Daphnia pulex: one gene and its partners. The protein of the gene in region 1 purifies or fractionates together with the protein of each later gene. This does not show direct contact. Links are inferred from orthologs where the notes say so. Each region holds a gene or a part of one and is shown in the gene's direction. Other genes may lie near its edges.

Region 1 (4,463 bases):
TTCTTCTTTTGATTCCGAAATAATCTCAATCTTGGATCTTTTCGACTATCCTTATTCTTCGACGTTTTTTTTTTATTGTGTCTTGACGCTGTTGTTGTTGTTGTTTGTTCCATCACCAATCGGCCAATGTCTAAACGTTTTCTTTTTGTCTTTTTTTCGCGTCTAGCCAAAATGAATCCCGACCGATGTCTGAGTTGCCGAATTTTATAATTGGGGTGGAGATTGTTGGCTCGACCAATGTCGAGGTCTAATAACATTCCGTCATCACCACGAGACTTGATTAACAATCAATCATTTCGTAAGTCTAATGTGTCCAGGAGTCCAGTGAACTACAATCGCTTCATCCATGTCGAAGGGTATTGTGTAGTAATGAATGCCGTCCAATAATCATTGCGATCCATTAAGCCTTGACTCCCGACAGACTACACCGCCGTGGCAATGCACACCGGACAGTATAGTGACCCCCCCGCAGACACAAAAAAGATGATGGATAGAAATTTAAAAAGAGAAAAACAAAACAAACCAAAAAAAAAAAAAATCTCAGTCAGAGTCTGTCGGGCTATTGATTGGACACCCCCACGGAAAATTCACGCACGAGGAATAAGGAGGAGGAAGTCGATTGCTGCTGTTGGCCAAGTCTAAATGTGTGCAGCGACATTCAACCGGGTACATTCTATCCGCCTACACAATGGATGACATTGCTGCAAACAACAAAAACAGAACAAGCAACTCGAAGCATCGCCGATAACGGTGATTATATCCCGAATAAAAAAAAAAAAAAGAACCATCAACCGAGAACCCATGGACAGAAGGAGAACTCTAGTTGGGCTGGGCTGGGCTGGTCTACATCACCGAATGGCCGGCATTGATTTTGTCGATCTGCCCATATCATCCCAAGTATTTTTTGGGTTTTTTTTTTGTGATTTCCTTTTGGCAACAACAAACCAACAAGCGAATATATAAATCGGGGTCGCTCGTCTGTAGACTCGTCTGCAGATAAAGACGTCTAATATATCTTTCCATACGAGTCGGCAGCAATAAATCATATAAGGGCACTTGCCCATCCAGGGGGCTTCCATCGCCCGGCAAAACTGAAATTCTGCACTGTGTGCGTAGACATCAGACGACTGCTGAGATTTATTCCGTTATTCAATTCAAAAACATGACGGCATTTTACTCCTTATTTCGCCCGCTTTGATTGATATTATCGCCCGTGTTCGACTGACTTTGTTTCTCCTACAAAATGTTTTTTTCCGTCGTGGACCCGACCTGATAGCGACTGACACGTCATCTATATAAATTCACAACTAGATTTCAGTTTCCAGTGCACAAGCAAAAAAACAGCGCCAGAAACATTTCCTTATTCGGGTAGGGAAAACCCCGCCCTCAACGGGATTCCCATTTGCATTTTATTACGCTGTGAATTTTTTTTTTCTCTTTTATTTTATTTTTATTTATTTATTTTTATTTTTATTTATTTTATTCATTTTATTTTATTTTCATTTTTTTTGCCACTCATAATCCACCTGCTAGCTGGTAGATGGCGCTGTTCTTAAATTCAGATTTCATTGGCACCCGCTAGATGTCGCTAGTGTCGCTCGTTTTGAGCGCGTGCAAATCTGTACGCATAGTAAACGCATTTTCTTGAAAGGCCCGGCTTTTCTGAAATTCCCTTTTGAAACAGCTTTATAACTGTGAGTGTTGGGTTAAGCCGAATACCGATCGACAACATCCAAAGTATCTGCCCAATTTACAGACAGCAAACGACTCAGTTGACTGTCAAGAATGGACGCCGATCTCTACGACGAATTCGGCAATTACATTGGACCCGAACTCGAGTCAGATGAAGACGAAAATGAGGAAGGAGACGAGGCTGATCACGATGACGAAGCCGAAGACTATGGTGACAATGATTCCGAAGAGGCCATGGATCAAACGGTGGTTGATGGCGACGCACAGATGGCCATTGTTTTGCATGAAGACAAAAAATACTATCCATCAGCGTTGGAGGTTTACGGACCTGGTGTGGAGACACTGGTGCAGGAAGAAGATGCTCAGCCCTTGACTGAACCCATCATCGCACCTGTCAAACGAAGGAAGTTTCAGGTACCACAAATTGTTTCGCTGCCATATTTCATTTTGTTGATTAACCTGTTTCCACCCATTTTCATTAGGTTGCTGAGCAAGAACTCCCTGAAACCACGTATAACATGGAGTTTTTGGCTGATCTCATGGACTCTGCAGAACTTATTCGTTCAGTGGCCCTTGTTGGTCATTTGCACCATGGCAAGACTTCCTTCATGGATTGTCTGCTCATGCAAACACACCCAGATCTCCAGACGGGAAAACCTGGCAGTGGAGAGGAGAAGCCTGTCAGATACACAGACACACTCTTTACTGAACAAGAGAGAGGTGTTTCCATCAAAGCGACGCCCATTACCGTGGTCATGCCCGACCTGAACGAAAAATCCTTCCTCCTCAACATGTTCGACACACCTGGTAAATTACAGTTTTCCAACTTGCAAAATGGGGGGGAAAAATGTATTTAATCGATTTTGATGTTTCTTAAAGGTCACGTCAACTTCTCAGATGAAGTCACGGCTGCCCTGAGACTTTGCGATGGTATCGTCCTCTTTGTCGACGCTGTCGAGGGTGTCATGCTCAACACGGAACGAATCTTGAAGCACGCCGTCCAGGTAATTAAAAAAAAAAAAAAACTTCAACTTGGTTATTCCAAGAATTTCTTTTTAACCCTGTCCTTTCATAGGAGAAAATGGCCATCACAGTTTGCATCAACAAAATCGATCGACTCATTTTGGAGCTCAAGCTGCCACCTCAGGACGCATATTACAAGTTGCGCTACATCATTGAAGAGATCAACGGTCTTTTGGGCCTGTACAGCGACGAAGAGAATCCAAAATTCGTGTCGCCCTTGTTGGGCAACGTCTGCTTTGCTTCTGCCCAGTTCTCCGTTTGCTTCACCCTTAAATCCTTCGCCAAACTTTACAGTGACACGTACGCACACGTCCACAATGGCAATGACGGTCTTAAATGAAACTTCATTTTCTTTCATTTTAGATACGGATCCGATATCAACGACAACGAGTTAGCACGTCGTCTGTGGGGTGACATTTACTTCAACAGCAAGACGAGAAAGTTCACCAAAAAGCCGCCACATAGCTCGGCTCAGCGAAGTTTCATCGAGTTCATTTTAGAGCCGTTGTACAAAATCTTTGCCCAGGCATGTACCAAGGACAACTTTGCAGTTAATTTGAACAGTTGATTCATTTCCAATATTTTTTGCTTGTTTAGGTTGTGGGAGATTTGGATTCGAGTCTACCGCAGTTGCTGGACGAACTTGGCATTCGCCTGACTGTCGAGGAACAGCGGTTAAACACTCGCCCCTTGTTGAGACTGGTCTGCAGTCGCTACCTGGGCACTTTCAGCGGTATGTCAATTAAAATGTATGTTGAATTGAAGCAACGGTCTTTAAATGTCAATGTTTGACTGGTGTGTGTAGGTTTCGTGGAAATGTGCGTCAAACACGTCCCGTCGCCCGTAACGGCTGCTCGCACCAAAGTGGAACACATTTACACAGGTCCCCTGGAGTCCATCCTGGGCGAAGACATGGTCAACTGTGATCCCAACGGCCAACTGGTTGTCCATACTACCAAACAGTATCCCACAGAGGACTGCACTGGATTCTATGTCCTGGGTCGTGTCCTGAGTGGGACCCTTCACGCTCACCAGAACGTCCGACTCCTGGGTGAAAACTATTCGCTCAATGACGAAGAAGATTCACGTGTGTTGACGATCGGTCGACTTTGGATATACGAGGCCCGTTACAAGATCGAAGTCAATAGAGTAACGGCAGGCAGTTGGGTCTTGATCGAAGGGATCGATGCCTCAGTGGTCAAGACGTCGACCATCGTCCAGGTTCACGTCGACGAGGACTTGTACATTTGCCGACCCTTGAAATTCAACACGCAATCCATCATCAAAATTGCCGTTGAGCCGGTGAATCCCAGCGAATTGCCCAAGATGTTGGACGGTCTGCGTAAGGTTAACAAATCTTACCCGTTGCTCTCGACGCGAGTGGAGGAGTCGGGCGAGCACGTTATTCTTGGAACAGGCGAACTTTACCTGGACTGTGTCATGCACGATCTCAGGAAAATGTACTCGGAAATCGACATTAAAGGTTTGCCATTCATTTCTTCCCAACTGTTAATTCTTCTAATTTAACTAATTCACTTTGGTTTTTCTTGTAGTTGCTGATCCTGTGGTGTCTTTTTGCGAAACGGTCGTGGAAACGTCCTCACTGAAATGTTTTGCCGAAACTCCAAACAAAAAGAATAAAATCACAATGATTGCGGAACCCCTGGAGAAAGGTTTGGCCGAAGATATTGAAAATGGGGTCGTCCAAATCAATTGGAACAAGTAAAAAAGACTTGGAATTCTTTTTC
Region 2 (3,915 bases), on another chromosome or scaffold:
TCCTGCTCTTTATTTTCTTTTCTTTCTGACTTGCTATACGGCTGCTGCTGCTGCAGCGCTGGCGCACTGCGGCCGGGCTTCCGTTTGACCTTGTCGGCTGTTGTTTCTATCTCTCTCTCTCTCTCTCCTACCTCCCTCTTTCTTCCCCCTATCGCCTCCCACCTCCCGTAGCCCGCCCTCTCCACCCATTACCCCCCCTCCCTCCGCTTGAGTCGGCCCTGGACACACTACTCAAAGGCAACTCTAAAGGAAGGTGCGGGTCCACCTGAAGTCCTCAGTTGTCCGCCGAACTTCCATTCACGTAGACACAACAGGAGCTCTCCATTTCTCTCTCTCCTCTCTATCTCTCCTGTTTTTCTTTTCCCCACTTCTTTGCCACATCGCCGCCTCTGTGCTATTTTTATATTCGCTTGCACTCTCTCGTCAGGAAGTCTTTTTCCTGTCCCCTACAAGCGATAAATTGTTTTCGTGAATCGCCGTTGATTACTTACCCAATTCCAACATGTCACCAACATGCTCTAAATTGTGCAACTGCTGGCTTTGCCGCACTCGCAGTTAATCTATTTTAGAAAAAAACCTTGTGAATTGGTAAGCGACTATTTTTGGCATCTCCAACTTTTTCAATCAATTACACTAAGCATCGCGCCAGTGGTCCGCCGTTTCTGCGGATATAATTGAATTAGTGATTTAACCGGATGGTCTAGACAATTGATATTCTAACCAGTTTTGTTGTTTGTTTGTTTTGTTTTTCTTCTTCTCCCCATCACAGAATTGTTGATTCAGATGGTGAATTCTTGCTGGTTGAAGCTGCCGATAGTCTTCCGCGTTGGGCCAACCCAGAAACTTGCATCAACAGGGTAAGTTTATTCGCTTAACTCTTTTTTTTGGAATTCCTTGACAAAGTTATAATTTTATCACTCTGAAAATTACAGGTTTTTATCCATGGTGGTCAAGTTCATATAATCAGTATAGCTGATCGTCCCTCTAGTATCACTCCTTTACCGTCAGGCCAGCCTTCTCTGATGGACGCTGTTCACATTGTTCGTTCCATGCCGCACTTGACCATAGCACCCGCTCCCATTCAAGAGCCAATCCACCAGCGCATTGACAAGTAAATTTGAAATTTCTAATTTTGTTTTCGAGTTTAAGGCCATTTCGTAATGGGGACAACTCCCCTGGTTTTTTTTTTGTGTGTGTGTTTTTTCTTTCAACTAATTCAGGTGCGTATCTCAAATCGATTCCAGTCTTCACCGTTGCAATGTATTCGTGCCTGCTGGTGTTGCCGCTTTGCTGCAATCCTATCCGACTCTTGTAGCACCAGCTATTCATGCATTCTGTCAGCGCGATGCCTCTCAACTGCAGGTATTTAAAAAGTGTCTGGTTAAAATGTCAGCTCAAACCCGAGCTCCCGAAGGCAAGGTTTAATCAATTATTTTGTTCCCCCCGTTATGTAACGTAGGTTATCCGCGCCATGCGTTTCTTTCCCCCAGAAACTCGAGTATGGACGTCAGTGACATTCACAAAATGTCTTTATGCTATGCTTGTTCACCGTAACTACCAGCCAGATCACAGGACTGGCTGGTCTTTACCACCGATTGGCGATTCCAAACGAACGGGTTCAGACCTTGGCATGAAACTTGTACGCAATTTCTTTTATCTGATTTTGTCTTTTCTGTTTTGAATTTATTTATGTTTTCAAATCATTTCAGGCTATTGGATTTGAATTACTGGCTAACGAGGAATCCTTACACCAAAAAGACGACGATTATTCTTTGGACATGGATTCACGTTGGAATCGATTCCTAAACACACTGAAAGAAAAAGGATTTTTCCAGGTAAATTTCACTGAAAGTTATTTTGTCAAATTTACAAAGTAATTTGTGTTTTTATTTCTGTTTGTTCTTTTAGGATTTCCTCGATGGTTCTAAACCACATAATGAGCTTATGGAAAAAGCTCGAGAATTTTACATCAATAGTGTGGGAGTAGAAGGACCGGCAAAGAAACCTGTCATTTTAAGACTGATGCAATCTGTTTGTGCCGATGTCGACAAATTCAAGAAAGTAGAATCCCATTTACCTGCGGATGACGGTAAGGTTTCACTTGTAAGACGTTGGTAGAACTGCAACTCATGTTTCGTTGTTATTCAATACAGATGACTCCTGGCTATCTGTTGATCCTGCCACCCTTGATCAAATTCTCGGCGACAAATTTAGTTTGTTGGGAGTCGATGATGATGACGAGGCCAAGGCCGATATCTTGCCTAAACTTGAAACCTTCCTCAATCGGACGTCAGATTATGAAGGTCTTACGCCGGCCAACGGCAGGAAGAAATCCAGAAAGCTTTCTCACCTAGCTCCGCCTTCAAGGAAGACGTCAACGCTCTCAAACGCCTCTGACGCTTCCCAACTTTCTACCAACATTGGTTTCGATCCAGATAGTTTTGCATCCGCAATGCAAGGGATTCTTGGTACGTCAATTTCTTGTAAATTTGTTGGACTTTGAAAATAATAAAAAAAAAATCTTTTGTAGATTTCGCTCTGCCAGAAGACAATTGGGATTTGGAATCAAATTCTTCTTGTTTGAGCAGCTACAGTGAAGAGGAAGAAGGCGACGAGTTGGTAGACAAGGAGATGAACAAATACATGCAAACAATGGATCAAGAATTGTTAACCACGGATGTTCATCGTACTTCCGTAGACAACCCTACTCGCAAGGTAAATTTTTGTGTGTGTGGAATTAACAAACAATTGGTAATAAGCCATCGAATTCGTTTCCAGGAATCCGTCATGAGCGAAGGTTGTGAGAGTTTCAGCGATGTGGAAAACTTTCAACCCGTAAAAATTGATTCTGCTGCTCTTGAATCCCTTCTTGCTTCCTACACAATGCAGCGTGGTGGTCCTGGTCCTGCATCTATTTTGTTGAATCAATTGAATCTTTCTCGGAGCCAGGTATCAGCCAGTAAAAAACAAACCGACTGAAGATTGTGACCTTACGTTTGTTTTTCTCCTCTTTTTCTCTTCACTCTTTCCCTATGTAATTATTATCGATGTCTTTTCATCCGCCCTATTTCCTCTTACCCATGCGATTGGGTGATTTGAGGTTTAATTTATTATTATGATTCGTCTTTTGATAAAAACTTCCGGTTTTTTTTTTCTTTAAAAAATTCGGTCCCTCACCTTTTCGAATCTGACACATTTCTCAAAAGCCAGTCGCTGCTATCCCTCTGTGATACACAACGCTCGGTGGAGGTGGTTTGTATAACGGGACTTTTTTTTTTTTTTTCCATTTCCAGCTCCATTCCTAATACATTTCGGATTTATGTATTCGCCTTCTTTGCGTTCTTCCATGTCTTTTGGCGTTATAGCTGCCATTTGAAAGATACACGAGGATTCACACTGAGCACGTCTTGTAAATTAAGTCGATACAAACGGAACGACTCGTGGGGTCAAATTACTCGTACCCACGCAAGTCACGGTTTGCCTCCAGCCCGTATCCTTGTTCCAGATTTTAAAAATACCTTTTTTTTTTGCTAAGTTGTTGTATGCGCACAAATGTGGAGTCAAAAGGGCAAGGTACAAGCTATTTTAATTCGCGTCTGGCCATTATTTTTATTCTTTTGGCTTTTTGAAGTAGTTCTAATGAATTTGAGTATCGTTAAATTGTTTGCCAACATACCAAAATGTCCAATCATCGAGTTCTCAACGGATTTGATGATAATACAGTTGAGTAAGTTTGAAGGATGCCATTACGCAGTTTCCGCATCAATGGTGCATAACGAAGTCCTTACTTCAGCGGCGACTCCGCGGGGAACATTGAAAAGCCAAATTGGCGGGGTAAGTGAAATACGTAGAATTTTATACATGTTGAACCTCTATGGTGATCAATATTATCAAACGAACTAGCTTTAACAAGTT
Region 3 (3,634 bases), on another chromosome or scaffold:
GGAAAAACGATTATACTTCTCGATCTAGCCTTTGGATAGACTGGAAAATTTCTCCGCATGCTTTGTCATAGTGGGTGTAACGAAATCGTTGACCCCAGTGGCAAAAATCCGATGAAACGACGAAACAGTTGTTGGGGTCCGCGAGATACTTGGAAAGGAGTCTTCCGTAGTGGGTTTCACGTTCCGGAGACAGCGATCCAACCAAAATTGGGACAATGGTAAAATCTCTGTGACTAAAAAAACAGCAAGATATTTGAAAATGAACAACATTGCAATAATTTGCATGTGAAGAATTCTGATTGCAATAAATTCACATACTTTTCAAAAACTTTGGCAATATAAGGCAGATGCATTTCAATGCTATGCTCATCTTCATCTGTTTCCAGATTCATCCACTCAAAGCAGCCAGTACCCTGTAGTTCTTTATACACTAAAAATAATACAGACTAAATATTTTCCCTTACAAAATTGTGAAATATAAATTTACCCTGTGTATCAATGGTGAGATCATAAAATGGAGTGCGGTATTTGGCTACAGATGAGAGGGCACATCCAGACAGCCTTACATGATGGGAAGGCCCTAGAATAAAGACACGTTTCCTGTTCCAACAACATACACACTGATGGGAAAATAAAAGGTAAAAAAATTTTTGAGGCTTATTTTTACACATTTGTAGGATCAATCTGTTTGTATGCAAAACCTGCACAAGATCCGCAATAACGATAGCCAGCATGCCTGTGGTAAAATAATAAACAGCTTTTGTTAATTTTCGCACAGGAGAGACTTTCACAAATTTATATTTTATTGATAGAAGTAAAAAAAAAATAATCATTTAAAAAACTTACGGTGCAATGATAGCCCTTGCTGGTCCATGTGAGAAATTGGCTGCATCTAGCCACCCATCGAGTTGACGACCAAGTTCCTTAGCTAGGAAAGGGTAAATATGATAAACAACTAAAATATGATGTTTTTCCATTTAAACAAAGGAACAAAGATGTGTCAATATTACCCGAATCAGAATACCAGCTGCCAGCGTGGGATGCTTTTCGTACGGACATGTTAAAAATAACCCTTTTTTACGTAATCTTTAATCTAAAGGATATCACCAGTTCTATTCTCGATTAAAATTATTTAAGAATAGTCCTATTTCCTAACCCACCTAGCAGTGTACCACCACTGTACACAATGCAACCAGCCGTCCTTCTCACACAAGTGATTGAGGATTGGACCATTGGGGGGTGAAAGCAGACCGACCGAAAGCAATCAACGATGCGAAAAATTAACTATTACAGAAATCGAAAATTCCAGGAAAAGTTACATGATTTTTATTTTTAAATTATTTTTTAAAAATCCTGATAGATTTTTTAAAGCTTTTTATAGGCATTAAATCAATTTGAATGAAATTTTAAATCAGTGGCAGCTATCGGCCTATCGCCTGAAAGAATCGAGTTATAACGATGTCAACAAAGAATTGACAGAAGGGCACATGCTGATTTGCTTAGTTATACGTACGTAAGACCATCGTTTAATGCTTGTTGATGAAAACAATATTGGTTTCTTGTGTAATAACGGTGAGTAAAACTTTTAAGAGTGTGAAGCTAGTTTTCGCTGTATATAAAATACTTGTTTTCACCGATTTCAGCTCTTTTTCCAAAATGGATTCAGATGACGACTACATTGTCCAACAGTTCAGCGATGAAGGAGGCATCGATTCGAGCGATGACGATGAAATGGTTATGAAAGAATTTTACAAGCAATCAGAGTCTGGGGGAAAAAAGTCGTTGAAAGATTTTCAGGCTGAAATGAACAAGGAATTGGAGCTTCGTGTGGCAACTTATCTTGAGAAAGAAAAAATTCAAGATCCAACAAAATTTGGGAGTGATGTTAAAACAGAAAGCAAGTCAAGAGATCACTACTTTGACACTGATTCTGAAGAAGATGTCGAAACAGAAGATTCAACAGCTCAAGCACAATCTAATATGGAATTATTTTATGATCCTCAAATGGATCTCAAAGATGAATCCTATGTACAAAAGCAGCGAGACATGTACAGAAAGAAATTCAAGAATCAGGCCAAGCCCAAACTTTTACCTAACAGTGATGCGGTGTTGAACTGCCCTGCATGTTTTACAACTTTATGCCATGACTGTCAGAGGTAATTATACGACCTGCTTTTTAATTAATTACATCATAAGACTTTGCTGAATCTCTTGTATTGACTGAATGTTAACCTTGTAGGCATGAAACTATCAAAACACAGTACAGGGCTATGTTTACTTTTCATTGTCAAGTAGACATGAGTGAGGTGATGAAAATTCCTCTGCAGTCACAGAAAAACCGTTCCAAGAAGACGGCGTCAGATGAACCTACTTTCAGTGGGTCTGAAGATGTTTATCATCCGGTACGGTGTTCCACGTGCAACACACATGTGGCTATGTTTGATAGTGATGAAGTGTATCATTTTTTCAATGTCGTTACGAGTCATTGAATAAAGTCCCGTCTGTTATTATTTTTGTCAGTGTGTTGTTAAACTTGTGTGTGCACTTAAAGTTATTGTAATAAGAAAATCAAGAGTCTTCGAGGACAAAAATTTTGTGTAATCGCCACACATCAAAAGGGGGAGGAGAGGAAGTCACAATTTCTTTTCATGTGAAAAGAAAATAAAATAACGGAAGGGTCAGTGGGCAACGGTTCACACACCCAAAAGTAATATTCCGCACTGTGCGAACAAAACATGGGATTTTTTTAACCAAAAAACTAATTAATGATGTGAAACGCTGTAAAACGGGTGGGAATCAAATGATTAAGAGGAATATTTATTCAAAATAATTCCTGTGTGTCTGTGTTATCCAATCGACTCGGCTACCATCAAACCCCTATCCCAGATCCCTATCGAATTCGAAATTGGAAAAGATTTGCACAAAATAGCCTCAAAAAAGGGGAAAACGCAAAAGCATCAACAGTATGGGGGGAACGAAAAATTATACCCACAAAGAAAAACGCGAAAGAAGACGAGACCCAAAAATCAATGCACAAAGATTGAAAAAACGGGAAAGGGAGGAAGTCCACGTCTATTAATTTTTTTTAAGTGGACAAAATTGGTTGTGTTTTATCGAGGAAAGAGGTTGGGCGGATATAACACACCACAAAGAATTTGAAAATAATTTGGTTGTTTCTAGGGCTCGAAGATGAATGTGTCTCAGTCATCGAACGGATGGATTTTTCTAATTTATGGGATAAAAGTTCGGAGGGGAGGAGGAATACAATGAAGAAAAACATTCAAAAATAGAATGAAGAAAACTGGCCGACTCCAAACATAAAAAATTCTTCCTGCTTTTTTTTTCACACTCGGCAGATTCATCTAGAATACTAATTCTATCAAAGAATGATGGGCTTCTTTTTCTGCCATTCTCTCACACCACTACCCAGCTCAGCCGTTGCTCGATTTTGTGTACAGATGGTTCAAAAACAACGAAAATTTAAGGGATGAAAAAGAGCAAAACTAGACACAAACGATGAAGGTTGAACCAAACAAGTTTTTTTTTATATGAACGAAAGGGTAAAAACGAGAGGAAGGGTTCTGGTTGATGGTGAATGTATCGAATTTCTTCTACAGCTGACGAAAAAATCACT
Region 4 (4,573 bases), on another chromosome or scaffold:
ACAGCAATGAGCTTCACTTCCGGTTCTGCACGTCGTGGTGGTGGTCGACGCAAAGAGGATCGTGACAGAGACGAGGTAATAATCGAGTTGATTTTCAATATAATTGAAATCAAGACTAAAATTACTTTCCATGCTTTTTAGCCCGGTGAGGACTCGGGCAAAAGGTTGATGCGGCGCGAACGAAACAAACAAGCTGCTGCCCGTTGCCGTAAACGACGTCTGGACCATACGATGGCTCTCCAACAGGTAATAATTTTGCCAGCGATATTTGTAGAAACAAATGCAAACTGTTTTTTCTTTATTCCGTCTATAGGAAACGGAGTTGTGGGAAGACAAGAAACAAATCTTGCAGAATGAGATCCGTCAGTTGCAAAAACACAAAGAAGAGCTGGAACAGCTTTTGGATTCTCATAGACCTCAGTGCAAGATGATGAGAAAGACGGGCCATTATCCGTCGAACAACAAAGCACCTCTACTTCCCGCTATGCCTAACCTAATGCCGATACCAAATGTCCAGCAACCCCAACAACAGCAGCAACAACAACAACACTCCCACGTTCAGCAGCAACCAATCAAAGAGGAACGTCACGAAAGCGATGAATCTTCATCAGACGGCGTCGGCTTAATCGAGTTCACCCGACCTACCATAGCACCACGCCCTCGTCCTACAACGCTACCCGTCGCTTCCCCCTTTACAAATGCTCCACCGCGTAATTCTAGTTGGCATGAAATCGCCGGTATCGCAATCACTACACCTTCATCCGGAATCCCTGGATTCAACTTTGACTCGCTCATGGAGGGTGGGACAGGGCTCACTCCCGTTGTGCCTAGCCCATCGTGTGGCACTCAGCAACAACGTAGTAACGCAGGAAGTAATGGAACAACTCTGCCCGTTGATTTGTCCAGTCCTGAGGCTGTAAACCGAAAACTGGTTTCACTTTGATGCGTTTCTTAGTAGATAATTATAATCTGAAGTTACTTTTTTAGGGGAAAAACTGGGTAAAACTTATATGAGGTTGCAAATAGATTTGTATACCTTTTGCCCCCTATATTTATTTTTTAAACAACTGAAAGAAAACAATTGTAGTATGTTACATACTAAAAAAATTCTTCAAGCTCATTCAATCACTATCGATTGACCTATGCAAATCAATGTCTTTAAAAGCCTTAATAATTGCGGGAATCGCTTTTAAAAAATTTCTTCCTACTATTTCTAAGTTTAGTTTTTAATCCAACAGAAACTAACATTGGGTTGTTTGAATTCACACGTGGTTTACCCCTTTGCTCTCCCACAGGACCCTTTTGCATTCCCGTTGCTCCACTAGTCTCGAGCGATTCGATAACGAGCGCCGTTTCTTCTCCTTTTTTTTTGTTAGCTCCCGTCCCTTGGTTTTTTTTCCTACGCAGAATTTATGTAGATTGGCTACAACGAAGTCTATTGCCAATCCATGCCTTTATTTGTTTTCAAATTGTATTTTGTCATAAAATCGAATGCCACCCTTGTATAATCCGCTTACATTGATGCAATAAACAACATTTGATAGCTTCAATTTTGAACGATTCTTTATAATTGCTTATTAAACTCAAATTGAGTTTAATTGAGTTGCTCTATATGAATATATTCGGAAAACCTAGGTTAATGAGTCATCATGAAGCAAGATGATCCAGTCATCCGCATTCCGCTGTTTAAGAAAAAATTATCGTCGTCTGCTAGTAGACATTTCCCACGTGTTGTTTCAATCTCGAGCGCGCTTTCATCTGCGACATTTAGGATTACATTTTTCGAAGCCCACAGAAAATGCCAGAAGTGTGTCGAAAGCAAGTAACTCTTGAAGTAGAGCTATCCCTATTGGATCCTCAACTTAGATCAACAGATCTGACACATTTATGTGATGGTGAGTTTAATTAATGTGACAGTGTAGTACTCAGTTAAAAAATGACATGATTTGACAGCTATAAAATTTTTTAGATCTCAAAGACCTGATTGAACACATCCAAAAAGGAAACTTTGAAGATGTTCTAAAGCACTGTCCAATTAGGATTTTTGGAGCAGGTATTCAACAATCATCAATCAAAGAAGCAGTTGAACGATTTTGCCATGATAATTCAAGTGATGAAACCAGGTAGAATTGATATTATATAAATTGAACAGCAGTAATTCTTATATTATCAATTATTTCAGTTTATTTCAGTTGCTTTGCATTGGGATATCTGCCTTACAGCGCTTTATTCAAAGTAACTGGCTTGGATGCAACAAATGGGAAATGTCATCTGATGATGACATGATAGACAGTGCATCCAAAGAATGCTTAATTATTGATGCAGAATGCTTATTTCCCACCATTAAAGACCTACAATTGCTCTTGGCTGCAAAAACCATCTTATTTGACTTCAAGGAACAGTTCATGCACTTCAAGGTAATTTAAAGTTGTTTAACAAATTGAATAGCAAATTGATTCTCATTGTATTTTATGAAAAGCTTTCAGGTTGGTGGCTTATGAGGTATTTATATGTCCACCAACGAGTCTTAGAGGAGTCATCCCAATTGCTGCATTCTGCATTCCTTGAAAACATTATTGGCAAGATTGATCAGCTTGAAGAATCACTTGGAGGTAACTTGCTTTTCAGCTCTCTGCTGCAGTTGGAGCTCGGTTACACCTACTTGCTGTATGGTGAAGTGCAAAAAACCAAACTTCATTTTGAAAAAGCCAATGAGATTGTTGGTTTTAGATGTGAATGGACAGGTAGGTTACAAAATTTAAAACATAAAAAACACCCCAAATATGTTGAAAATGTTTGTTTACTAAAGGGGCAATGGGGAAAAGGACACAGTATCAACAAACTCCGCTACCCCAATTAACGATCAAAGTTCATTTCAACATGGATGAGGCGCTGCTGACAGATACTACCGAACGAGCAAGTGATCTGCCAAGAGACGTACGATTAGAGGATGACACCCGTTTGAATCACATCGCCTTTATCAACAAAGATGACAATATTCTCCCTGATCTTCCTCCTCTGTACCAATCTCTTTTGATTGCTCATGCGTAAGGAAAATTCTAACTTTTGTTCAGTGGCGTAAATTAAATTTATGGATTCTGTTTTAGAACTCAAATTGAAAAATTCCATCCTAAAGATGACCTTCTTGGAGAAGAACTATCACCTTTACTAAACGTGAGACAAATATTTCCATTTTTTTTACAGTAACATTGAGTTGAAGAATATGTTTTACAGTGTATCTTAGGCTATCCAAAAATCTGGTCTTTTCATGTCAGCTCTTTGGTGATGCGCTCCAAGTTGGAGTCTACGCAGCGCCGCGCTGTTGAACGAGCTCTTTCTCAGTTGCAAGAGCTAGCAGATTCTCTAGCAAAAGTCAGCCCTGATGCACATCGTCGAATTGAATATTTTTATGTTTCGCGAATTCCGCTCGAGTGTGAACTTCAAAGCGAATTGGCCGAAGTTCTTAAAAGTCTTGGAGCAATCAGCAGTGCGTTAGACATTTATATTCGTCTCCAGCTGTGGGATGGTGTTATTGCTTGTTACCAACAACTCGACAGAAAACATAAGGTAAACTCGTGTTGTATCAATAAATCCTCAGTAGCTTGTAAAATTTAACATTTAGGCAGAGGAAATTGTCCGCCAAGAATTGGCAAAAGGTGAAACACCCAAGCTGTGGTGTCTACTTGGAAATTGCACTGATGATGTGACATATTACGAAAAAGCATGGGAATTGTCCAAGCACTCGAGCGCTAGAGCTCAACGAGATTGGGCAATGCACTTTTACAACAAAAAACAGGTCCGATTTTTTTATTATTTACTTTTACGAAGCTTTTTGACTTACATTAAATTTGTCTTTGAATAGCTTCGCGAAGCTATCCCCCACTTTCAAGAGTCCTTGAGAGTCAATGGATTACAGGAAAATATCTGGATTCGATTGGCCTTTTGTGCTATGGATATGGAAGACTGGGAAATTGCCGCCTCTGCATACCGTCGATATTGCGGTCTGAACTCTGAGGTATGTGCTCTAAACGTTCACAAAAAATTAATTAATAAATCGTCAACGTTCACATCTTCTTAGTCGTTTGAGGCTTGGAATAATGTAGCCAAATGTTATGCCAAACTGGGCCAGAAAACTCGGGCTTGGAGAGCTTTGCAAGAAGCTGTCAAGTGTAACTATGAAAATTGGAAGATTTGGGACAATCTAATGATCGTATCCATCGATTGCTGCGAATATGAAGAAGTAAGTTCCTTTAATCGTGTTGCATCTGAACAACATTTTATCGAGTGATCATATTTATAGGCCATACGTTCGTACAACCGTATCCTTGAACTGAAAGAAAAACATGTCGACGTTCAAGTGCTGAAAATATTGGTTCAAGCAATCGTGGAGAACAAAGAAGATAATTACGGCCAAGAAGTCAATCGACTCGGTGCAGTTGTTCAAAAACTTTTTGGCCGCTTAACTTCACAGGTGACCAATGACGCACAAGTTTGGGAAGTGTATGCCGATCTTTTGGCTGGCAACGGAGGTACGGAAACAACGACGGCCTTTCGAGTGGCTCAACTCATGCAA
Region 5 (4,362 bases), on another chromosome or scaffold:
GCTTAATCTACCAATTTTGAGCCATGGCAATCAACACATTTTTTAAGTTATAGCGGAATGTTTGAAATTAGTTGATGAATGTATTCTACGTGGCACACCTTTTGCCAAATCATAGAATCCTCTCACAATAAACCTTCTTCACTAGTAGCCGTCACAAATCCGCGAGTGAACTCATTGATCATTTTCAGTCAAACAGTTTCAACGGGTATGGCGTCCCCGAATTATTTAGGCAAATCAAGAATGACAATGTTACCCTCTGGTTCAGTAACAAATTTCATAGCAGCTTTGCTGCGGTTAACCGGGAACCTATAAACAGTTGATAACAATATTCGGTAACATACACACACAAGAAATTTAATTTGTAATGTGAAAATAAGATTACCAGTCATGTACTACACCAATATGTCTAGTTGATTTCATCTTGCAAAAAGGAAGAATATGTTCTTTGAGGATGTTGTTGTATGTTCTTGAATCGAACTTGCCAGTCACTCTGCACAGAGAAATATTTGGATGGAACGAAGATATACCACCAAAAAACAACACAGTATTACCAGTTTATTTCTCCGAACCAAAATGCAACTCTATCTTGCTGTTTTTGTCGTAACTGGAATTAGGCAACTTCGAACTGGAATTGAGCAATATTCCTAACGATTCAACAAGCGATTCGCCACTCAAAGAGGCCGTTTTTGATTTAGCGGAAATCGTCGCTAGGGGTTCTAAAAATTAACAAATAGATGGGTTTTGTGCAAAATTTTTCGCTAAGTCGATTGCTGAAAACCGCAATCGCCTAGCTTTTGTAATTTGGGAGATTTTTTTAAAAAAACTGAGAGGGGGTAGCCGAAATTTGGAATTTTTTTCGTTTTTTGTGCAGCAGTTTTCTCGTCAACTGCTGCACCTGGAAATATTCGAATTGTTTCATAATGATGGGATAGCCCACCTCTTCAAACAATTTTCATGTTTTTTCGATGCTCGGCTCAGAAGCCGAGATATTAACGATTGAAATTTTTGAAAAAATTTCTAAAAATTTCTTCGTTTTTCGGCCATGCCGGGCTTCATCCTATAAGCCACCTAGCGCTGCGAAAATCGAGAGGGGGTGGTCACCCCAACAGACCCTATATTCAGGGTAAACGTGGTCCGATTTGGAAACTGGAATGAGCGCTCTAGTGAGTGTGTCAGCTACTACGCTTAGCTACTTTTGAGAGCCTAGATGGCTCTGTTTCCAGTTTCTACTTCACAATTCTGACAAGCTCCGCCCTAAAATGTCTGAAAATCGGGGATACGTTTACCCTAAAACCGGGATAGGGAAGCCAACACAGCCGAGAACCGACCAGGCATCTATTGCTCTGGTTCTGCTATCGGCCGCAGTGGTGCGCATCGGCGTAAACTGCGCAGGACTTTTTGTTCGACTACTACTTTTTCATTGGAATAACATCTATAGTCTTTGAGGCGATCAGCCTACCTCACTAGCGAACCTGGTGCGGAATCTTGGAACCCTTAGTATAAACAAAAATCGACAACGACATTGTTCGTTTTGGACTTTTGGTTTTGCCGCACAAGTCTTCACATGTAAAACAAATAGTTAAAAACTATACTGGCCTTAATGTTTTCATTATGTTTTTCCTTTATTGATTTACGGATAAATTTATCTTCTGTTTTCTTTTTTTAAGTTTTATTCAATAGGAGGATTAACACGCCATCTGTTGCGGAATCAATGGATTTGTATTTGTCCCCGCTTTCCAATCCCGCATTTAGCAATTTACCAACACCCAACGGCATCAAAATAAATATTGCAAAAGCTGAAGTCTGCTTCTCAGTTCTCAAGTTCTGAAGTAAAATTGTTGCAAGATCATTAAGTGAATACAGATTCTGGTACCCTACTTTTATTGTTTGATATTTTAAGGAATTCTATTGAAAAAAATTTTATGTTTAAAGAAATCAAAACTTCCCACCTAAGTTAAACTACTTTCTTTCAGTTCTTAAGGAGACATGGACCGAAAAGAAAGTCGCGATCATAATAATTTTCGAAAAAGAAGACATCGTTCCCCATCTAGGTCTCCGTCAAGATCACATTCAAAAAGTTATGCCTCCGTCAAATCCAAACAAATAAAGGAAGATATAAGTCTCAACATTCAGAGCGAAGAACTGTTGACAGGTATGTATTCAAAATTATGTTTATTAGTAACTAGTAACCAATAATTTTTTTTAAGGAAAAGGGAATGATGAAAGACCAGTTGCTAATTCAACCAATGATACTTCCATTTCGATTGAGGAAACCAACAGAATAAGAGCTGAACTTGGTTTGAAGCCATTGGAGATTGGAGGAGAAAATTCAAATGTTGAAGCCAGTACTGAGAAAAAGGATGTTCATGTCCCAGCAGGTAATGATTTCATTTAAATGTCTTTACTTGTACAATTTAAATGTGGTATTTCTCTAGAGAACCTCCGTGAAAAGAAAGCCACAGAAGAGTTGAGACGAAAACTAGATGAAAGACGAGAAAAGAGGCAAATAGAACAAAAGCTTGCACAAGTGCGCACTCTTGCTCATACAACAGCTGATGATGATGACAATGCTGTTAGCTGGGTTGAAAAATCAAGAAGGATTCAGAAAGAAAAGGAAGAAGCTAATAAAAGAGCAAAAATGCTTGAAGAAATGGATGAAGCATTTGGTGTAGGAGATATGGTAACTACTGAACTGATTAAACAAAAAGCAAAAGCATACACAAGTAGAGACTTACGAGGAATAAAAGTAGAACATGACCGGGTAAGTCACCGACAACGTATACTTTTATTTGAATACCTGTGTTGATGTTGCTTTATTTTGTTAGGAAATGATAGCTGAAGGGAAAGAAGTAGTATTGACTCTTAAAGATCAAAACATCTTGCAAGAGGAAGGGGATGTTTTGGTGAATGTCAACCTTGTTGATATAGAACGCTACAAAAAGAACAATGAAATCAAGAAACAGAGACCGGGATATCAGCCCTATGAAGAGGAAGAAGTTGATGAATTGGGCCTTCCCAAACCAAAGCTCTTGCTTGCTAAATATGACACAGAAATAGAAGGAGAAAAACATGATAGCTTTGTCCTAGGTAAAATATTAGATTTGTTTTGTTGATCTTTACAAAAATATTTATGTTAAAATTCTAGGTAAAATTGGAGATGAAGAAGCCAAAATGAAAGCCCAAAAGTTGATGAAAGACAAACTCAAAATGCAACAGAAGAAAATTGAATCACTGGAATCGCGACCGCTCCAAATTGCATCTGAATATTATACAGCAGAAGAAATGGTTTCCTTCAAAAAAGTTAAACGTCGCGTCAAAAAGGTTCGATCCAAAGGCGACGGCATTTTAAAAGCTGACGATCTTATTCAAGAAACGCAAGAAACAACTTCGTCAGACTTGGGATCGAGATCTCGAAAGAAGAGAATGGATGAAGAGGTCACAGAAGGTATTTTAGTTTGACTAGTATATTGTTTTATTATTACTTATTATGTCTTGTTTATCCAACGCCAGATTTAAGCGGATTCAAGATTACTGTAGACGAATCCCAAAAAGAAATACGTCAGGCACTATTAAAAGCTAATAAACTAAAAGAAAGGAAGGCTGATCAGTGGGACATGAACATGATTACGCGGTCATTAAAACGCGAGCCTTTGGAAGAAACGGAAGGTATGGAAGAGGATCCTCTGAAGAGTAGTATCATACTGAATGCCACAGCAGAATTCTGTCGTACTCTTGGTGACATACCAACCTATGGTATGGCAGGCAATCGTGATGAAGACGAAGATGAGTTAATGGTAATTCATTGCATGAATGTTTTTTTTTTTTTGGTTTTGACTTTAATTAATTGCGTTTCTGTTTTGGCAATAGGATTTCGAGCGACAGTTGGCAGAAGAACGCAGAAGAAATCAAGAAAAAGAAGAGCGAAAAAGGGAGGCTGAGCGTCTTCAAGAACGCGGTGGATGGAATGTTCTGGAACGTGAAAACGATCAAGGTTCCGACGACAGCATGGATGTCGATCGTAATGAAAAGGGTATGTATACTGTGTTCTCGTCACTTTTATTGTTGTCAGTGTTTGCATTTTTTTCTTTTCTCTCTGTAAAATAGATAACGCTACTGTTATCCTGGACGAGGAACCTGATGTCGGCTCGGGAATGGCTGCAGCTTTGAAATTGGCTATGAGCAAAGGCTATCTGGAGAAAGAAGAGAAGAAGAGGATAGTTATTTCTAAGTCCGCCCAAGAGCTGCAGGCGCAGCGCTACACCATAGAAGATAAAGCAGCGTACAATTATTTTGTGTTTTGTTTATACGATATTCAGTTATTCTTATTTTATTTTGTTATTTCAGCGAGGACGACAAATATTC
Region 6 (3,807 bases), on another chromosome or scaffold:
CATTAAACTTGGAGTTCAAAATGAAGAAAGTTAGACATTCTGCTGTAGTCATACTGAACTGTAGTAAGTCAGGAATCTCTGCCAAAACTTTTTCTTTAGTGATAAGAAGACTTTGGGGGATCTGGACTAGCAGATGGTTAGGAGCTATGTTAGACATAGCCATGAGACCTCGTCCAGTGCTATTAAACAGAGCTGGCTTTGTAACTAAACAATTTTTTGACACAGCATTCCAACCATTCGCACTCATCCATTTACAAAGTTCAACGAATTCTGAATGTGAATCAATCCGAAGTGGGCGAGAATGCACAATTCGAACCAACCTGTTTCGGATTCTAGATGTTCGTCCCATGTTTTTTTATAATGGAAATATATTTAATTTAACACCACAACTTTATACCACATTCATATTCTCACAGTTTTTCAATAAACTCACGGCGGTTTTCTTTTCGAATAGAGATGAAACAATTGGTTAAAATGAAATTTACGGCTGCTTACACTTGACTTCAAATCTTACTGAGTTTACACTTTACACATTTTGTTTACATCAGAGTGATCAGACGACTATGAGTTGACAGTGACAGGAATAGGGACGGGTGGGTTGAATCCGAAGTGGCTAGTCCGCTTTCATATGTATGGTTTGAGATGTAGCCCTTTACGCACCAGGAAGTGCTTGATTTCTAGTACATCTTTTGGATCCTAGGGCAAAATGCACGCCACTAGAGGCGCTATGCCCACGAAGTGAACGAACTAATGCTTGTCGCTTGACAGCTCTTTTTATACTAAATGCTATCCAGCACTCCCTAATGCATTAAAAAGGACGTTGCCTTCCCCCAAGCCTAGAGAGTAGAGACGTAGCAGTAGATACGTCTAAATAATTTTTTTACTTGACATAAATCATTTTCTATGATAGCCTAGCCTTAAGCCCTTAACTTTCCAAATTAATTAAAAAGAAAACCGTTATTCGTACGCAGGTACACTATCCCTTAACGGAAGTGTGAAAAAACAGGTTCGGTTTTAATTGAATAACTGAAACGCTATTCATCACAAAGAGAAAGATTTGAAAATAAATGCGGAACTTGCATTTGAGACAACCAGACGTCAACGAAAAAGAAGTGCGCGTTATTAAGATCTACCTCTAAAATTTATGCGATCTCTTTTGTCGTTAAAGAAAATCGGCCCAAATATTATATATTTTGAGATAAAATCCGCGGGTTAATGTCAATGGATTTATTAGATCCAATTCCTTGTTGTAGTTATTATATACCAGAGAGATGTATATTTTTCCTATATCACTGGCAAAACCAACAGTCAGATTCACGTCGATGTCCGTTAAATTTTTCTTAAATTTTTGGTTTAGTGCTTTAGTCTCAATTTTAAAAAAATTCCGCGATCCTCCCATCAGATACCTTAAAGTAGCAGCGAAGAAGCAACAAGTTTACTAGTTTTGGAGTAGCCTTTTTATTTTGCGTTTATTTGAATTTATTTTGATTCAAATAAAATAATCTGATGGGCTATTTGAATTTGGAAAAATCTCCAAAAAGTCGCTAAAAAGCGGAACAGCCACTTTGGTTCTAGCTCTACTGATCGTATAACGAAGCGAAACATGCTGTCTGCAGTCTCTGCACTCTGACGAACGTGTTTGACTGTTTGCCCACGCCAGTTTTCAGTTTGATTAGTCTGCAACCTGTGAATCGGTATTTTATTATTGTCCTCACTGTGCATAATAATAAGGAAGGTTTAGACAGTGATATTTATATATTACTCATTAGCTTATGGGGATGCTTTGAACATTGAGAATTTCAATACTTTACGTAAAGTTTTTGAACACGTAACCTCGATTCTTGATAATCTTTCTTGTGGTGCATTCAAATTTGTGCCGCAACATGTCATCTAACAATGCCAAGCGAAACATCTATGTCGGTAAGATCAAATAACATATTTCAGTCTTACGAAATGTAATGCTTACTGTGATTCATTTTAACAGGTGGCCTTCCTGATGAGGCAGATGAATCAGTAGTGCGTGCAGCCTTTATTCCTTTCGGAGAAATTGTTAATATAGAAATACCTCCAGATTATGAAAATCATGAAAAACATAGAGGTTTCTCTTTTATTGAGTATGAACTAGCTGAAGATGCTGCTGCCGCAATTGATAACATGGTATTCTCACAATTTCTTACAGTTTATCTAGTAAACAAATATTTAATTACTTGCCATCATGGATGCCTTTCTTTCAGAATGATTCTGAGTTGTTTGGCAAAACAATTACTGTAAACATTGCAAGACCTCGGAAAATTAAGGAAGGATATTCTAGACCAGTTTGGTCAGAGGATTCTTGGTTGCAAAAATATGCTGGAAAGACAGAAGAAAATAAAAATCCAGTGGAGGAAAACAATAAGGAATCAACTGAAGGGAAAGACAATGTTTCTGAATCTGAAACTAAGTCAGCAGTTTCTAAAAAGCCTCGCGGCAACCCTCAAGTGTACATGGATCTTAAAGCTGGAAAAATCAATTTGGGCAGAATAATTATTTTATTGAGAGCTGATGTCGCCCCTAAAACATCTGAAAATTTTCTTGCTCTCTGCACTCATGAAAAAGGTTATGGATTCATGAATTCCAGTTTTCATCGTATTATTCCAGGATTTGTAAGCGGAAAGCTCAGTTTTAATCAATATTTATTTTTATTAACGTTCTTTTGCAAAAGATGTGTCAAGGTGGTGATTTTACTAACGGTGATGGAACCGGTGGTCGATCAATTTTCGGTGGAAACGGGAAATTCGAAGACGAAAATTTTACGTTGAAGCACAACGGTCCTGGTATTCTGTCTATGGCGAATTCAGGCCCAAATTCAAATGGATCCCAATTTTTTCTAACCCTTGACAAAGCAGAATGGTAGGTTTTTTCCCTGTTAAAATATCATAGTTATAATGCTAATAGCACCTTTATGTTTTCAAAGGTTGGATAACAAGCACGTCGTATTTGGTCAACTTCTTGCCGGCCTAGATGTTTTACGTAAAGTGGAGAAGTACGGAACAAAGTCTGGTAAACCGACTGACAAAGTCATTATGTCCGCCTGTGGAGAACTATTGTAACACATGAATAAAAGAAGCTTTTTTTTAACTACATTGTTTAATGACCAATGTCTTGTGCTCATGAAAAATATAAACAAACAAATTGATTGGACTACAGTATATTCCAACCCTCTTCCCTCCCGGAAAAAAACAAAAAAACAAAAGAAAAACATTAACGTCATGGGTCCTTTAATTTTCGTTGAGATTTTCATATTGATTGATCCAGCTATGAATCAAATCTTGGATGTAATTGTCTTGCAGGTCTTTGGGTATCCGCGGTCCCGGATAATTCAATTCTTTATTTAATGCGCCTGTTAGTTCATCTAAACAAGTAAAATAATTGGTATGTTTACAGGAAATTCCCAAGTTTGACATTTTTTAGACACTGTAAGGTATTTGAATGAAAAAAGATATTTACTAATATTCATATTAGGCCACAAATCTTGCTTCTGATTCATAATGGGAATTTCATTGGATATACGGCCAAAAGGTTCCTCCCCAACCATTGCCGCCCGACCAGACTTCGAAAGATATATATATTTTTTTTTAAGTTTAGAAATAATTATCTGATTTTTTACGTCTACTGTGGACTACACACCTCCGTGGAAATATCCTTGCGCCTACCCAAACGAGGAACCGCCTTTGATGCCTTCAGAAAAAAATTAGAGAGACTTCCTTCGTGAGGAAAAGATTCTGAATTCATGTATTCAGCGATGATTCCTTCACCTCGTCGGCCGAT
Region 7 (4,672 bases), on another chromosome or scaffold:
GGTTTTAGAAAACGTTAAAAAGAGACAGTGTTTTAGCTCTCCCCCCTTTTTTATTCTACAGGGCAGTTTTGGGTTTTGGGTTTCAAGACATGTCACGATCTCCGTGTGTCGCAGCTGCTAGTTTGAAAAGCTTTTTACCTATTAAAGATTTTAAAAGTCCCAATCATTTGAAGTTGAGTCCAGTTCCAGCTGGTCACACTCAATATCACACCTTGTTATCACCTTTTCCACAGTGCAACCCCCAATCCACACCTTCATTATCCCCATCATCTAGCCATTTTAACTTCAATAGTCCAAATAATTTTTTTCAGAAACGAGATAGTATTTCACTTTCTGTTGATAGTCCCCATAGGCTGCTTTTTGCTTCAAAAATTAAGACCACTCTCAACTCATCTAATGTACTAGGACGGGGAAGGTTTGGTCAAGTTGTGTTGGCAAAGTATAAAGGTAATATGATCGCTTTATCAAAGTTGAAAGCCTTAAAAACCAGTACTGTAATTTAATTTTCCAGATGCACAAGTTGCTGTTAAAATAATAAAGAATGCTGCAAAAGAACAGGTCAATGAAATAAATGGGGAAAAGCTGTCACATCCCAACATAATCAGCACTCTTAAAATAGAGAAAGTTGATGATGATGTTCTAATTTTAATGGAACCTTGGGGTTCCCTTAACCTTCAACAACTTCTTAGCATGTCTTTGAAAATTCCATGGGGAGACATTCTCAGGTATTTAATCAGACTTTCCCCAAATTACAATTAGATTAATGGTATACTTTTAATTTACAGCTATTCGACACAATTAGCCATGGCTCTTGAATATTGTCATGCAAATGGAGTGCTGCACCTTGATGTGAAACCTGCTAATATTATGGTGAAAAGTGAAAAATGGATTAAATTGGGAGACTTTGGAAATTCTGCAAACATTCATCAGCTTGATTTATTCCAGGTTAGTTTTATCTTGTCATATCTTGATGTGATTGAAAATGGATGTAATTTGTGTTCTATTTAATTTCTGTTTCAGTACCAACAAAGAGTAGGTACAGTTTCTTACTGTTCCCCAGAAATACTTCAAGGGGATGTTCCCTCAACAAAATCTGATGTCTATTCCTATGGTATAACATTATGGCAATTTGAACACAATCAAATACCTTTTTCTGACTTGGACTGGCCCACTGTAGCATACCTGGTATTTCATTTTTAGACTTTTTATGTGATTCATTGTTAAGTTTCTTGTTGGTTATTAGGTTGTTGCCAAGGATGAAAGACCAGTCCTCAATAGTAATTGTAATGAAGAAGAAACAACATTTAGTAAGCTTTATCAAAGCTGTTGGCAACCAAAACCTGAAGACCGCCCAACTATGTCAGAAATTGTAAATATTCTCAAGGATTTGAGTGAATGATGTATTGTCTTTCGAAAATTAAAGAAAAATTCATGAATGAGCTTCTGGTCCCTCTCCACCAGGAACTAACTAAATATCAATCATGAAATGGCTATTAGTTCAAGTAATAAGACAATAAATTATGTTGCTATAGCATCCTTACCATAGTTATGTTGTTTCCATTCAACAGGATCTGGTCTAGCTTAGTCACACGTCTTCCTTCTGGAGTAGATTCAAATTCTGACACATCTTCCAGCACCATGTTGACAAAATCGTCGAACCCTAGCAAAGTTCCCACTATTTCCTTGTCATTCTTCATGATAATGTGGATCCTTGAACCAATGCATTTATCAACCAACTCCTGTATACCACACCAAATTTAGGTGAAGATTTAATTGCATAACTTTAAAAAAGTATTACCAGAGGTAAAAGCGTGGGTACTGGTGCAGCCATTTTATTTAATTAGAGGGAAAAAATGAAATGTCTTCCACGCCAACTTCGAAAATTTGTAAGTTAAGTTTGGTAAAATCTATTGCACTCCGGAGTCCGGAGCGCTCTAGTGTCAAAAGTGGCTATTGCACTCCGGAGTCCGGAGTCCTCTAGCGTCAAAAGTGGCTATTGCACTCCGGAATGGAAATATGTAGTACTTTCATTTGGCGACCGATGGCATTCTGTTTCTGTGTTTTGAAATTTGAATGGTTTAGATTTTTTTTCTTTGGAAATTCAAATAAAATGTATTTATAACAATCATATATATTTGAATATCACTAATAAATAAAAATAGTCAGTGTATAGAAAGAACTTTTATTTCGTTATCGTTAACTTAGCTAGAGTTTAGAGTACAATGTCCAACATTGAATCAGTACCTTAAAATTCAAATTGTAAATATAGTTAAGTGTCTTGCAACAGGAATAAAGTAGAATTTATAAACATTTCAATTCAGGGTGATATTTCTTGTTAACCATTTCAATTTCTCGCTCTATTTGCTCAGTGTAAGGATTTATACACGTTATAAACGCATATAGTGAGTCACCCTTTGTCGCCCCTTACCTGCCTGAAAGTCGAGCCGGAGTTCTCAGAACGGGGCTTCGAGGGGTTCTTTGTGACCTTCAAACGCATTGACCAGCAACTCACTATTTCTGCTGATTTACACGTAACGTGTGATTCAGCTGATTTCACGCTATAAACCATGCAATGCCCGTGTCTCTTATTCCAATAAACTAACAGCTAAACACGTCTTTCATATCTTGAAACAAAACAATACAAAACTAAGTTAACATGCAGATGCAGTTTACTTTATTATAGTGAGAATATCAAAAGACATTTTAACTGAATTGTGAGTGCGAAAAAATACTTGGTATTTTCGTGTTCAGTTTCACTCGGTGCTTTGTCATCACATGAATGAACTGACAATGAAAAAGTAATTGATTTTAAGGGGAAAGAATTAGCACATGGTGCGGCGTCAATCAAAGATCCTTTAAGAGCGGAATATGGAAGCGCCTTGTCCTTTGATGATGGGTTGCTTTAGGTTCCAACGCCGCGGAGATAATCATAAACAAAGTTAACCACTCCTCTTTTTGACTACCAGTATTTTGTAACATCTATCTCCCTTATGTTGTAAAAAGAATATTCCTCGACGATGACGAATGGTTCTGTCACGAATGTAAAAAATAAATACCTTATTATGTAGCCTCATGTATACAAACCCAGGATTGAACTGATTATGTGAAATATATTGTGTTAAATTTGAGTAGAAAGTAAACCTACTGTTTTTGTTTATACACACTCAACTTCTTTCATTATTAAATGATATCGAAGAACATTCTTCTTATGTGATATAAAGTCATGATCAGGTCGTAAACGTAAAGAAATAGCGAAAACCCCTAATCCTGCAAACCTTAAAACTTTTATAGATGAAATAAGTAAAATCTCACTTTTCAAACATGATCCTTTTTTTTTCAAAATGTCAAACACTAATTTCTTGAAGGCATCAGGTTTGTTTTTCATTTGGGGAAATCTCAAAAACTCATCACATGCTGTTGACCTGTTGTACGATATTGTAACAAAGGTGAAACCACAGATCAGTGCATAACTCCCTCTTCTTTCACACTATAATTGAAGCTTGAATGAAAGACAGACTCTGAACTCAGGCTGAATGGTATTTATGTTAAACACAGAATCAGTCGTTATTTGCCATTCGTCGCCATAAATTTCCGGAGTGCAATAGCCACTTTTGACGCTAGAGGACTCCGGACTCCGGAGTGCAATAGCCACTTTTGACACTAGAGCGCTCCGGACCCCGGAGTGCAATAGGCGTGACCGTTAAGTTTTGACAGCAGACGAAAACTGAAAACTGAGCTTCAGCTGTCGTTGCTAGGTAACCTTGGACGCTCATTTGTCAGCTCGTAGTCTGCTACAAAGCTGTAACGACCAACATAACGTGTGCGTTCGATTTAAAATGCCGACATGGAATCAGATTCAAGGGCAATTGAGGCATCCTAATAATCCGGTGGTGTTCTTGGATGTAACAGTTGGATCAACAGTAAGATTTTATATAGCTTATTCCATTTTCTTAAACATTTGTTTTAATTATAGTGGTTGAAAACAGGATATTGGACGTATCATCATAGAGCTGTTTGCTGATGTTGTACCAAGGACAGCTGAGAATTTTCGGCAATTCTGCACAGGAGAATTCAAACGAGACGGGTTGCCAACTGGTTTTAAAGGGACATCTTTTCATCGGATCATTAAGGATTTCATGATTCAAGGAGGAGATTTTCTTAATGTAAGTAAAATGTTTAGTAAAACATTTTTTAGTTTGGTTTACAACCTGTTAATTCCTTAACATAGGGAGATGGAACTGGTTGCTTAAGTATTTATGGTGATACTTTCAATGATGAAAATTTCAACTTGAAGCATGATTCCCCTGGACTTCTATCTATGGTAATTAGTTTGCTCAGATCTTAATTAACTTTGAACTTCACTATTTATGTCTGAAAATGATTTTGTTACAGGCAAATAGTGGACGAGACACAAATGGCTCTCAGTTCTTCATAACTTGCTCCAAGTGTGATTTCTTGGATGGCAAGCATGTTGTATTTGGCAGAGTTCTAGATGGTTTACTCGTGGTGAGGAAAATTGAGAATGTCCCTACTGGGCCGAACAACAAACCCAAGATTCCAGTGTCTGTATCCCAATGTGGTGAGATGTAACAAAAAATTAATACATGATTCTTTGTATCATTTCCTAGTGACAACAAAAGAAAAATATTTTCACAGCACACATGCATACTTA

What was found.
Region 2: the proteins of 116 kDa U5 small nuclear ribonucleoprotein component-like (region 1) and protein ecdysoneless-like purify together in Homo sapiens (affinity purification with mass spectrometry; 5 studies listed by BioGRID and IntAct, with this or other methods). This does not show direct contact. The link is inferred for Daphnia pulex from reciprocal best matches to the Homo sapiens genes EFTUD2 and ECD.
Region 3: the proteins of 116 kDa U5 small nuclear ribonucleoprotein component-like (region 1) and E2F-associated phosphoprotein-like purify together in Homo sapiens (affinity purification with mass spectrometry; 4 studies listed by BioGRID and IntAct, counting the BioPlex papers as one, with this or other methods). This does not show direct contact. The link is inferred for Daphnia pulex from reciprocal best matches to the Homo sapiens genes EFTUD2 and EAPP.
Region 4: the proteins of 116 kDa U5 small nuclear ribonucleoprotein component-like (region 1) and tetratricopeptide repeat protein 27-like purify together in Homo sapiens (affinity purification with mass spectrometry; 5 studies listed by BioGRID and IntAct, with this or other methods). This does not show direct contact. The link is inferred for Daphnia pulex from reciprocal best matches to the Homo sapiens genes EFTUD2 and TTC27.
Region 5: the proteins of 116 kDa U5 small nuclear ribonucleoprotein component-like (region 1) and U4/U6.U5 tri-snRNP-associated protein 1-like purify together in Homo sapiens (affinity purification with mass spectrometry; 4 studies listed by BioGRID and IntAct, with this or other methods). This does not show direct contact. The link is inferred for Daphnia pulex from reciprocal best matches to the Homo sapiens genes EFTUD2 and SART1.
Region 6: the proteins of 116 kDa U5 small nuclear ribonucleoprotein component-like (region 1) and peptidyl-prolyl cis-trans isomerase E-like purify together in Homo sapiens (affinity purification with mass spectrometry; 3 studies listed by BioGRID and IntAct, with this or other methods). This does not show direct contact. The link is inferred for Daphnia pulex from reciprocal best matches to the Homo sapiens genes EFTUD2 and PPIE.
Region 7: the proteins of 116 kDa U5 small nuclear ribonucleoprotein component-like (region 1) and peptidyl-prolyl cis-trans isomerase H-like purify together in Homo sapiens (affinity purification with mass spectrometry; 3 studies listed by BioGRID and IntAct, with this or other methods). This does not show direct contact. The link is inferred for Daphnia pulex from reciprocal best matches to the Homo sapiens genes EFTUD2 and PPIH.

The regions. Positions count from the first base shown.
Region 1 is NC_060028.1:8,367,416-8,371,878, forward strand, and holds the start of 116 kDa U5 small nuclear ribonucleoprotein component-like, read left to right. Parts: upstream 1-1,565; 5' UTR 1,566-1,785; coding exon 1,786-2,106; intron 2,107-2,174; coding exon 2,175-2,499; intron 2,500-2,571; coding exon 2,572-2,696; intron 2,697-2,767; coding exon 2,768-3,015; intron 3,016-3,078; coding exon 3,079-3,241; intron 3,242-3,312; coding exon 3,313-3,448; intron 3,449-3,520; coding exon 3,521-4,198; intron 4,199-4,268; coding exon 4,269-4,437; intron 4,438-4,463. UniProt on the Homo sapiens protein: Required for pre-mRNA splicing as component of the spliceosome, including pre-catalytic, catalytic and post-catalytic spliceosomal complexes. Component of the U5 snRNP and the U4/U6-U5 tri-snRNP complex, a building block of the spliceosome.
Region 2 is NC_060018.1:5,231,046-5,234,960, forward strand, and holds the end of protein ecdysoneless-like, read left to right. Parts: intron 1-769; coding exon 770-857; intron 858-932; coding exon 933-1,111; intron 1,112-1,220; coding exon 1,221-1,362; intron 1,363-1,459; coding exon 1,460-1,639; intron 1,640-1,709; coding exon 1,710-1,835; intron 1,836-1,908; coding exon 1,909-2,089; intron 2,090-2,153; coding exon 2,154-2,468; intron 2,469-2,530; coding exon 2,531-2,715; intron 2,716-2,778; coding exon 2,779-2,979; 3' UTR 2,980-3,400; downstream 3,401-3,915. UniProt on the Homo sapiens protein: Regulator of p53/TP53 stability and function. Inhibits MDM2-mediated degradation of p53/TP53 possibly by cooperating in part with TXNIP. May be involved transcriptional regulation. In vitro has intrinsic transactivation activity enhanced by EP300.
Region 3 is NC_060018.1:7,627,853-7,631,486, reverse strand, and holds E2F-associated phosphoprotein-like, read left to right. Parts: upstream 1-1,427; 5' UTR 1,428-1,572; intron 1,573-1,643; 5' UTR 1,644-1,656; coding exon 1,657-2,156; intron 2,157-2,239; coding exon 2,240-2,489; 3' UTR 2,490-2,926; downstream 2,927-3,634. Other genes in the region: protein MEMO1-like, read right to left, coding at 17-233, 319-430, 488-600, 668-736, 847-928, 1,011-1,059. UniProt on the Homo sapiens protein: May play an important role in the fine-tuning of both major E2F1 activities, the regulation of the cell-cycle and the induction of apoptosis. Promotes S-phase entry, and inhibits p14(ARP) expression.
Region 4 is NC_060020.1:293,273-297,845, reverse strand, and holds the start of tetratricopeptide repeat protein 27-like, read left to right. Parts: upstream 1-1,693; 5' UTR 1,694-1,798; coding exon 1,799-1,895; intron 1,896-1,969; coding exon 1,970-2,123; intron 2,124-2,182; coding exon 2,183-2,417; intron 2,418-2,479; coding exon 2,480-2,744; intron 2,745-2,809; coding exon 2,810-3,047; intron 3,048-3,107; coding exon 3,108-3,174; intron 3,175-3,234; coding exon 3,235-3,567; intron 3,568-3,622; coding exon 3,623-3,796; intron 3,797-3,862; coding exon 3,863-4,015; intron 4,016-4,078; coding exon 4,079-4,240; intron 4,241-4,300; coding exon 4,301-4,573. Other genes in the region: transcription factor kayak-like, read left to right, coding at 1-75, 142-246, 314-943.
Region 5 is NC_060026.1:10,447,317-10,451,678, forward strand, and holds the start of U4/U6.U5 tri-snRNP-associated protein 1-like, read left to right. Parts: upstream 1-1,540; 5' UTR 1,541-1,566; intron 1,567-1,667; 5' UTR 1,668-1,869; intron 1,870-1,950; exon of another isoform or gene 1,951-1,973; 5' UTR 1,974-1,986; coding exon 1,987-2,152; intron 2,153-2,207; coding exon 2,208-2,378; intron 2,379-2,435; coding exon 2,436-2,761; intron 2,762-2,825; coding exon 2,826-3,087; intron 3,088-3,145; coding exon 3,146-3,445; intron 3,446-3,510; coding exon 3,511-3,794; intron 3,795-3,867; coding exon 3,868-4,030; intron 4,031-4,104; coding exon 4,105-4,279; intron 4,280-4,344; coding exon 4,345-4,362. UniProt on the Homo sapiens protein: Plays a role in mRNA splicing as a component of the U4/U6-U5 tri-snRNP, one of the building blocks of the spliceosome. May also bind to DNA.
Region 6 is NC_060020.1:8,629,355-8,633,161, forward strand, and holds peptidyl-prolyl cis-trans isomerase E-like, read left to right. Parts: upstream 1-1,584; 5' UTR 1,585-1,883; coding exon 1,884-1,920; intron 1,921-1,984; coding exon 1,985-2,157; intron 2,158-2,234; coding exon 2,235-2,642; intron 2,643-2,701; coding exon 2,702-2,889; intron 2,890-2,953; coding exon 2,954-3,089; 3' UTR 3,090-3,175; downstream 3,176-3,807. Other genes in the region: uncharacterized protein LOC124191929, read right to left, coding at 3,258-3,391, 3,487-3,589, 3,667-3,807. UniProt on the Homo sapiens protein: Involved in pre-mRNA splicing as component of the spliceosome. Combines RNA-binding and PPIase activities.
Region 7 is NC_060021.1:7,373,923-7,378,594, reverse strand, and holds peptidyl-prolyl cis-trans isomerase H-like, read left to right. Parts: upstream 1-1,739; 5' UTR 1,740-1,798; coding exon of another isoform or gene 1,799-1,831; 5' UTR 1,832-1,853; coding exon 1,854-1,886; exon of another isoform or gene 1,887-1,918; intron 1,919-2,657; exon of another isoform or gene 2,658-3,030; intron 3,031-3,145; exon of another isoform or gene 3,146-3,708; intron 3,709-3,755; coding exon 3,756-3,920; intron 3,921-3,986; coding exon 3,987-4,163; intron 4,164-4,228; coding exon 4,229-4,321; intron 4,322-4,392; coding exon 4,393-4,590; 3' UTR 4,591-4,620; downstream 4,621-4,672. Other genes in the region: serine/threonine-protein kinase mos-like, read left to right, coding at 90-447, 512-725, 786-945, 1,021-1,185, 1,244-1,399; U6 snRNA-associated Sm-like protein LSm5, read right to left, coding at 1,430-1,468, 1,542-1,739, 1,799-1,831. UniProt on the Homo sapiens protein: PPIase that catalyzes the cis-trans isomerization of proline imidic peptide bonds in oligopeptides and may therefore assist protein folding. Participates in pre-mRNA splicing.